2 linked regions of the Canis lupus familiaris genome follow. The protein of the gene in region 1 interacts with the protein of each later gene in a biochemical or structural test. Links are inferred from orthologs where the notes say so. Each region holds a gene or a part of one and is shown in the gene's direction. Other genes may lie near its edges.

Evidence for each region.
Region 2: the proteins of ITPR1 (region 1) and CABP1 form a complex in vitro, tested with the Homo sapiens proteins (2 studies listed by BioGRID). The link is inferred for Canis lupus familiaris from reciprocal best matches to the Homo sapiens genes ITPR1 and CABP1.

The regions. Positions count from the first base shown.
Region 1 is NC_049241.1:12,983,418-12,987,864, reverse strand, and holds part of ITPR1 (inositol 1,4,5-trisphosphate receptor type 1), read left to right. Parts: coding exon 1-95; intron 96-2,196; coding exon 2,197-2,369; intron 2,370-3,741; coding exon 3,742-3,861; intron 3,862-4,447. UniProt on the Homo sapiens protein: Inositol 1,4,5-trisphosphate-gated calcium channel that, upon inositol 1,4,5-trisphosphate binding, mediates calcium release from the endoplasmic reticulum (ER).
Region 2 is NC_049247.1:16,859,664-16,864,110, forward strand, and holds part of CABP1 (calcium-binding protein 1), read left to right. Parts: intron 1-2,535; coding exon 2,536-2,566; intron 2,567-2,860; coding exon 2,861-3,004; intron 3,005-4,109; coding exon 4,110-4,219; intron 4,220-4,447. UniProt on the Homo sapiens protein: Modulates calcium-dependent activity of inositol 1,4,5-triphosphate receptors (ITPRs). Inhibits agonist-induced intracellular calcium signaling.

The DNA.
Region 1 (4,447 bases):
AGCTTGGGGATCAGCGGCATGCCCCATTCAGACATATCTGCCGGCTCTGCTACAGGGTCCTGAGACACTCCCAGCAAGACTACAGAAAAAACCAGGTTGGTATTCGGGATGGATGGGAAGTAATGGGCAGCTTCATCCCTGAAGTTCATGTACTCGCCTCATGAGTTTTAAGTCTCACATCTATAGTTACTTAATGACTAGAGATTAGTTTATTAAGTTCACGCTTAGAAAGGAAATAAATTTTTGCAAGCCTCAGAAGATAGAGTCCTTAAGAAAGATGCCAGAGAAGTTCCCTTCTGCAGCCACCTTTCAATGAGAGTTTTCTTTTGGCATTGGTATTACATTTTTATTGCCTTATGGAAAATGATTACATGGGTTTATATTAAAGGAAGAGTGGAATCTTTTCTTCCTGCTCCCTTCCATAGTCTACATGTCTGCTGGTAACTTTATTTTGATTTTGGCTCATATTTTATGACATTCTAAGTCCTTGTCTATGTCATGGCACTATATATATTATCCTCTCCCCATGAAATAAATGTTCTAACCTCTCTGGGGTTTCCCATTATTTTGGTATTTTAAGGAAGCCTGTGAACTGTGTTACACATTTAGTAGTTCTCAGCTGGAACTAATATTGTCCCCCAGGAAGTATTTGACAATTTCAGGGGACCCTTTTGAGTGTCACAACTTGGAGGTGCTCCTGGCACCTAGTGGATAGAAGCCACTGATGCTACTAAATATCCAGGAATGCACAGGACATCCCCATCTGCAAATAGTTATCCAGCCCGATAGTCCGTAGTGCTGAGGTTGAGAGGCCCTGCACTATGTTACTCTAAGTACTGTAGGTGCATAGATGATGCTTATGAAAACCTTGATTCCCAGTCTCTGCGTTGTGTTACAAAAAGCTTTTGTTTGTAAACTTTTGACTGCCTCAACATCTGGCCTTTAAATTTAAGCTTTTCTCTGTAATTAAGGTTTTTTATATTTTGTCATGAAGATAGTATTAAACTTAAGCAATGCTCTAAAGTATTAGATATAATGTTGTTAGCAAATATTGCTAAGCTTTTGACTTTGCCTTTGGTATTGTTGAAATTAAAAGTATCCTATACCTATGATGTTGCGTTCATTAATCTGGACAGGTGGTCTTTGGGTGCTCTGATTGCTTTAAATTCACCTGCGGTGTGTCAATACCATACTCAAATAGTGCCAAAGAGATTTTATTCTCTTTCTCTGCTATCTTCAGATAAGGATGCATTGGAGCCTGTAGTGTGTGCCAGCACATTTTGCTTCTACATGAAAAGACCAAACCATTCCCTCTTACTGCTGCTACATTGACTATCTCTGCTTATTATTTATGGATTCTATGCCACTTGGCATAAGTGTATCTTTGAGGGCTGGTGAATTCCTAAATGTGCATCCTTATTGAGCATGGGCTGAAAAGTGGCCAGTGTCCACTGTGGACACTCTGAGTAGTTTTTAGGTTTTTGGAATTAATTTTAAAAAATTAAGCCAAGTTTCAAGGGCTTTTGGAACTTTCAGTAAACAAATTGTCTTGGGAAGGGAAATATTTTTGAATAGAAAGAAGCAATATCTTCAAGAGGCTTCCCTGAGTTCCTCATATATTGTTATGGAACATCATGTCTGATCCCCAAAGAGAGAAGCCAGAGATGTTGTCATAGGTTCTATGAATCTGGTTGACTGGCTTAGGTATTCCTAACTTGCTTCTGCTACCCATTGGCTATAAAAATGTATTTTCACCCCAGTTAAAGAATACAGAATGGGGTAATATTGTTCTAAATAGCTAGGTAGGCTTAAGTATATTTATTCAGCAGCATAGAGGAGCAAGGCACAGTTAAATCCTCTTGAATTAGTAATAAAATCAGAGCTGAAAAACAGCTTTTGACCTTTTAGGAAAATAAGTCACCACATTAATATTTATACTGTGCACTTACTAAAATGCCCATCTGTACATACAGGATAATTTGCTTAATTACATTTGTGTGGCAGGTTTAGTAAAATGAAGGATGTGGGGGAGTTTGCAGCTGCTATCCTAGATTAGAAAGTTGTGGAAAGATGCTCCACTAGGATTTCCCTTACAAACAATCATTCTCATCAGGGACTGTTGCTGTTTTCCTCAGTTTTGGGTTGAACTTAATATTTTTTGGTCTCTCTGTCAACCTTTCTTTTCTTCCTTAAAAGGAGTACATAGCCAAGCAGTTTGGCTTCATGCAAAAACAGATTGGCTACGATGTGTTGGCCGAAGACACCATCACTGCCCTGCTTCACAATAACAGAAAACTCCTGGAAAAACACATCACCGCTGCTGAGATCGACACATTTGTCAGTCTGGTGCGAAAGAACAGGGAGCCCAGGTGAGGCGGAGGTGGGCCTGATTGGCAGAATGTGTCTGACCAAACCAGTCATGGTGCTTTGGGCTGGGTTTCCTTTTTGAGGGCTGCCAGAGGCAGATGTCATTTAGGCCAGTCTTGAGAGGCTCTTGGATGAGTAGCGGAAAGAACAGACCTGTGGTGGAATCCTAGCTCTAACATTTACCAGCTGGGTGACCTTCACTTTCCCCTTGAGCTTTAATTTCCTTCTATGCTAAATGGATGGTTATGAAAATTGAATGAGAATAAATGCATGTGAAGTACCTGGTACTTCGTAGATGCTCAGTCAATGGCAGATAGCACTGGCCACTCAGTGACCATGTAGTACCCCCCGATTATCAGTTAGAACACTTCCCCCAAATATCATAAGAGTTTTTTTTTGCAAACTTAGTTGTTACTTGAGTGTTTTTATTTTATGTTAGGATTCTATCATTTCTCATTCTCATAGATCTCCCCACCTTCTTCCTCTCTTCCCTCTTTTCTTCTCCTGATTCAGATCCACAACATTGGGGCAACTGGGTGACTCAGTCGGTTTAGTACCTGCCTTCACCTCAGGTCATGATCCTGGGGTCCTGGGATCGAGCCCCACATTGGGCTCCCTGCTCAACAGGGAGTCTGCTTCTCCCTCTCCCTCTGCCCTTTCCCCTGCTCGTGCTTTCTCTCTCTTTCTCAAATAAATAAATATTTTTTATATATAAAAAAAAAGATCCACAACATTTTAGAAGTAGGAAATAGCTTATAATATAGATATCGTGAACAATCACACTGGAGAGCTGATAGTGTTGTTACAAAATGACTCCTCCCACCCATGAAGTTAAATGATGCCTTGTGGAGCATTCTCATGTACCAGGGAGTGAACTAAACCAGCACTTGACATGAATTAGCTTATTTAATCTTCAGGACAGTTCTCTGAGGTTATACATTATCCTCTTCTGTGGATGAGAAAAGTGTAATACAGCAAGGTCAAGAAATTTCTCCAAGTCACACTGCATATCAGAACATAACTAAAGGAGAATCAGCACAGGGATTCCAACTCAGGCCTCAGAGCCTTTCCTAACTTCTCTGGTCCCCCTCCATCCACTGCTTCCTTATGTGGATGTCTTCCTTCTTTTCATTTTTGCCTCATCACTTCTCCATCTGCCCCAGTCATGGCCGCTTTCCTCTTCTGCCTCTTTCTTTCTTTTCTTATGGTGACTGGGTTCCTGGTGGTGCTGTAGATGCTGGCAGCCAAACCTGAAATGTCTCTGATTTCTTTTGTCCAAGGTATGGACTGTCCACTTAGCAGAGTCAGGCTCCAAGAGCCAAACCTCCTCTCTGGCTACAGAAAATGTTTTGTTTGCTTTCTCTTTCTCGACAGATTCTTAGATTATCTCTCTGACCTCTGTGTGTCCATGAACAAATCGATCCCAGTGACCCAAGAACTAATATGTAAAGCCGTGCTGAATCCAACCAATGCCGACATCCTAATTGAGACCAAGTGAGTGGGGAAGGGAGTAGTCTTGGGATTTAAGATACAGATGAGAAAAAGATTTAGATAGAGCTTGTACGGTTCAGTGGATGTCTGCACTCCTGACTAAGAGAACTTTACCCTTTTGGGTGAAGACTTGGTCTGAAGTCAGACAGGCTGGCATGAGATCTGTCTAATGCAAAGGTCTTGGATAAGGGAATTAAGTTTGCTTCTGGAGTGGCCTCCTCTATACTTACTTTTGCACACTGGTTTAAAACTAAGTGTATTCACCAGAGAGCATTTTGTACACACTTGGTTTAATTTTAAGAGCTTAATGCTCTTAAAGTAAGATTATTAGTTTTAAAATGTAAAGGAGGTAATTCATTGATGATATTAAGATACTGCAGGGAAGAGTTTTTTAAATTATCACTGTTCAAAAGTGTTTAGTGGTACAGAGAAACTTTGGTAATAGTAGTGATTCATTTTTAGCAAGGGAACTGTTTTCCTGGTAAGTACAATGCCAGTAATAAAGGCCAGTGTTTAGAAAACAAATCAAAACAAAACCTCAAACTCAATTAGGCACTAAGCTAGTGATTTGGTTTGTTTGTTTCTTATG
Region 2 (4,447 bases), on another chromosome or scaffold:
CACTTACTCTGTGTGAGGCTCTGTGCTAAGTGCTTTGGTGCATTGTCTCATGTCAGGCTCAGAGCAGCTCTGAGAGGTAAGTCCTATTATCATCTCTCATTTACAGATAAGGAAACTGAGTTGGAGAGATAAACATGTTCAAGATCACAGCTAGTGGGTGTAGAGGTTGGATTCAAACCCGGGAAGTCTGATGCAAAGGCTCCCTGTTCTCTTAACAGCAGTTCTGAATACACAGGCCTGTCCGGGAGAACTTCCTATAGTGATGGAAATATTCTACAAGCCATGCTGCCCGATATAGTAGCCATCAGCCACATGTGGCTATTGAGCACTTGAGAGTGGCTAGTACAACTGAGGACCTGAATTGTTCATTTCATTTGCTTCCTATTCCAATTTAAATAGCCGCAAGCAGCTACTATATCCCGGCAGCCTCCTTCAGATATCTGAACAGTCACAGGAGGAGGGTGATGATGTTACAGATACAAACATTTGAGGGTTCCACTTGTTGAATGCCACATGCTAAATACTTTACAGATATTGTCTCATGGGATGCTCGCAAAGGCCCGGTAACATGGGTGCTGGTATTAACCTATTTTATGATGAGGACACCATGGCTCAGAATGCTGAAGTGACCTGCCTGTGGTCCCACAGCTAGGAAGGAGCAACTCTGGGCTTTGCACTTGAGTTTGTCTGGCTCTGGAGGCTGAGCTCTTCTTCCAAACCGCATACGTTGGGGAGACAGTATGTGCTAGTATGTGCATGTACTCTCCTCCCGTCTGACCCCTGGGGATGGTGCTCACGGTTTCCCTAACACATTGGTGTGCACCTGTGGCTCTTCTACACATACCCCCAAATGCTCCACAAGGGGAGCATGTGATCCAAGGGCTGGCCACCTGGACTTTGCCAGAGGCACACCGAGAAGGGGTACCTGGCTTGCCTGCTCCCTGGTTCCAGCTATGCAAGAAGGGGAGGAGGCTGCAGTAGGGTAGCACCCTGTTCCTCTCCAATCCTGTAGAGCTGGGTCCTGGAGAAAGAGAGGCTGCTTGAGGCTTGAAGAGTGGGAAAGGACTCATATCTGAGTGATTTGTCCTAGCGAATACACTCTGCACGGGTATGTACACACATACACTCACCTATTTACTCACTTCACTTATTGGGGGTACAGGGTTTTGCAAAAATCATTATTTTTGGCCACCCAAGATCCAAGTGTGACTAGGAATGGAGTGACAACACTCGCAGTGTACACGGTGACAGGTTTTATGGTGGAAGTCCATACCATCATCTTGCGGAGACATACACATACCTTCAGTGAATCCTGCCCTCACCTAGAAATGCCACATGCTGAACGGGGTAGTGTGTAGCCTGCTCATTCACAGCTCATGTACACTGTCAACACTGTCCTGTCACATTTAGCCACTTCTGAGCCTGAGGTCCTGTGCACCTGGTTGTCTCACGAGATGTTGCTCAGCAGCCCCTTTCTAGAAAATTCTGAGTTTCATAGCTAGGGTCTCTTGCGATGGGGCCAGCTTGCAGTGGGTGGGCAAAAGCTGTCTCTTGCTGCCTTGACCCCTTGGCTAGAACAGCCAGCGTGCCCAGCTGAGATGCTTCATGCTCACTGGGGCCCGCCTGCGTGTCTGTGTTCAGGAGGGGTGTGCCCGCATCTGGTATGTGCTCACTCAGGGTGGGCACACCCTGCCACATTCTACCTGCCAGAAGTCAGAGAGCTGCGATACGTGGGGAGGATGTGCTGTGGGTGCCAGCTTTGGGGCCTACTGAACAGGTCCGGCTGGGCATCCATTTCATGCTGATCTGTCTGCCTCCTGGGAAGGCCTGGGGTGACTGGCACCTCACTAGCCAGAGTCTACCCCATGTATCCTCTGGGCCTGCTCTCTGGAGACTTCTCTGCCATCTGTCCAGATGCCTAGACCCAGAGTTTCCTTGAGTCCCCAAGGAGACCTGGGCTCTGCGCGAAGCTGGAGATGTGTGCTTTGGACCCTGGCAGCAGCCAGCAGCACCGGCAGCCCCCAGGGTCCTAGGCCGTGTCCCATTACAGGCAAGAGGTAGGATGAGGGTCTGGTGGGAGAAGGTGGGCGATGCCCTACTTCTGCCTCCACACCCTTGGCTCCTCCTCCTCCTCCTCTCCCTCCCTCTCTGGCAGCCTGTCCAGTTCTGGCTTTCTGTCCCTCCAGCCCTTTCCCCATTGCCTTGCAGGCCTTCCTTCTGTTGTAACCCACAGCAACCCGTCCACTCCACTTTATTTACAGGGTTTTGCCTCCAGAACAACTCTGTCCTCTGACACATTCTGGTGTCTGGAATGGGGACACAGAGTTTCTGTACGCAGGTTGAATGGGGCTCTGGGGTCCCTGGGCATCTTCTGTGTCTATGAGAGATGTGGGCTGCACCTTTCCCCCTCAAAGATGTGTGCTGGCCCTCCCTCCACCCAGTGTGCTCGTTGTCCCTCGTATAGTCCCCAGCCTGGGCATTTTGTGACCTCTAGGCCCCTTACAGCTGCTAATAGGACACATTCTTTTGTTTCAGGACAGATCACTGCGGCCAGAGGAGATTGAAGGTAAGACCCAGCCCCTTAGGGGAAAGGGTTGCTCAGCTGTCCAGGAAGGTGAGGGAAGGGATACTGGTGTGAAGAGAGGCAGAGACATCTTGGCCTTCTGGGAATGTGGCCTGGTACAGGGCTGGGCATTGTCTGTGGGGCGCTGAGGATCAGGGGAGTGTAGTCCTGGCAGTTCTAGGCTCTGGCTCAGGGACAGGGGTGGGGGTGGGGCTTGGGCTGCCTCTGCCCAGAGGCTTCACAAGTCCCACTTTTATCCTTTTGTCTAGCTGTGCCCACTTTTGTTCTTTCTCTCAGAGCTCCGAGAGGCCTTCCGAGAATTTGATAAGGACAAGGACGGCTACATCAACTGCCGGGACCTGGGCAACTGCATGCGCACCATGGGTTACATGCCTACTGAGATGGAGCTCATTGAGCTGTCCCAACAGATCAACATGAACCGTGAGTCCCTCCCCTGGGCACCACCTGCCCTTCCCATTCCTACCCTCGCAGTCCTCTGCAGTCACACAGGCTGATTTCAGCTCTGGGCCAGCTTCTATAACCTGGAGCAAACTGCTTAGAGTCTCTGGGCCTGTTTCCTCTGCTGTAATCTGTGAAATGAGAGGAGCACAGAAAGTCAGCGAGGGAGTACCTGCCACACAGCCCTGCATGTGGCCTACAGGGGCTGTTGAACAGAAGGGAAGCCATTACTCCTTTGTTATTCTCTGGCTTAGTTTGGGTTCTCCTAGAAGCAGACCGCAGAGACAAGGATTTGGGTACAAGCAGTTTCTCTGGAAGGTGAAGAGAAGGGTCAACAGGGAATAGGGAAGTGAGGCCACAAAGAGAAGGAGCCCACAGGGGGTGAACTCTCAAGCCAGCTAGCACCACTAGTATTGAGAATCTCATTCCTCCAGGCAGCTCTGGGAGTTAGTGTACTGTGCCCATCTTGAGGTTAGAGCCCTGGCCTCTCCAAGCCAGGTGTTTTGTCAGTCAGTGGCTGAAAGGTGTTGTGAGCAAGGGGTGGGGTGTGTGTCACTGCTCCAGCACTCCTACCTGCTTTGGGATCTTATTGGAGTGAGCCTCCTTTTGCAGGACAAGAGTAAGCCCTGGGGCATATGGGCCAGATGCTCCTAACTTCTGCTTTCTCTACCTTTCTGCTTGTTTGTCTTTGTCTCTCTGTCTCTGAAAAAAAAAATTTTTTTTTAAAGATTTTATTTATTTATTCATGATATACACAGAGAGAGAGGCAGAGACATAGGCAAAGGGAGAAGCAAGCTCCTGATCATCAAGGAGCCTGATGTGGGACTCAATCCCAGGACCCTGGGATCATGACCTGAGCCAAAGGCAGACAGACACTCAACCACTGAGCCACCCAGGCATCCCTTCCCTGAGCCATTCTTTGATAAACCACCTGTCCATGGTCACTTCTCTGTCCTCATTTGGCCTTTGGTTGTACCCTCGACCTGGCACTGAATAGGTCAAGGAGAGGTTCACAGTGCCTTCCTTTGCCTAATTAGAGATGAGGGAGTAGTTGGATGAATGACCTAGCCCTTTCCTCTGTCTCCAGTGGGTGGCCATGTGGATTTTGATGACTTTGTAGAGCTAATGGGACCTAAACTCCTGGCGGAAACAGCAGATATGATTGGAGTGAAGGAACTTCGAGATGCTTTCCGAGAAGTGAGTAATGGGCCCTGGACAGACAGAGGTGGTGGTGGGGTGATTGTTAGGATTCCAACTCCAGGATGGTTACTTGAAGAGAAACCTGAGCCCTGGATCACGTACCAGGGGAAGGAGCTTGGAAAGAGAAGGGTTTCTGGAGCTGGGGGACAATGAGGCTGGAAAAAGAGCCCAACCTTGGGATCTGCTTCTACATTCCCGGCATTGGAGCTACCCCTCTCTGCTCCC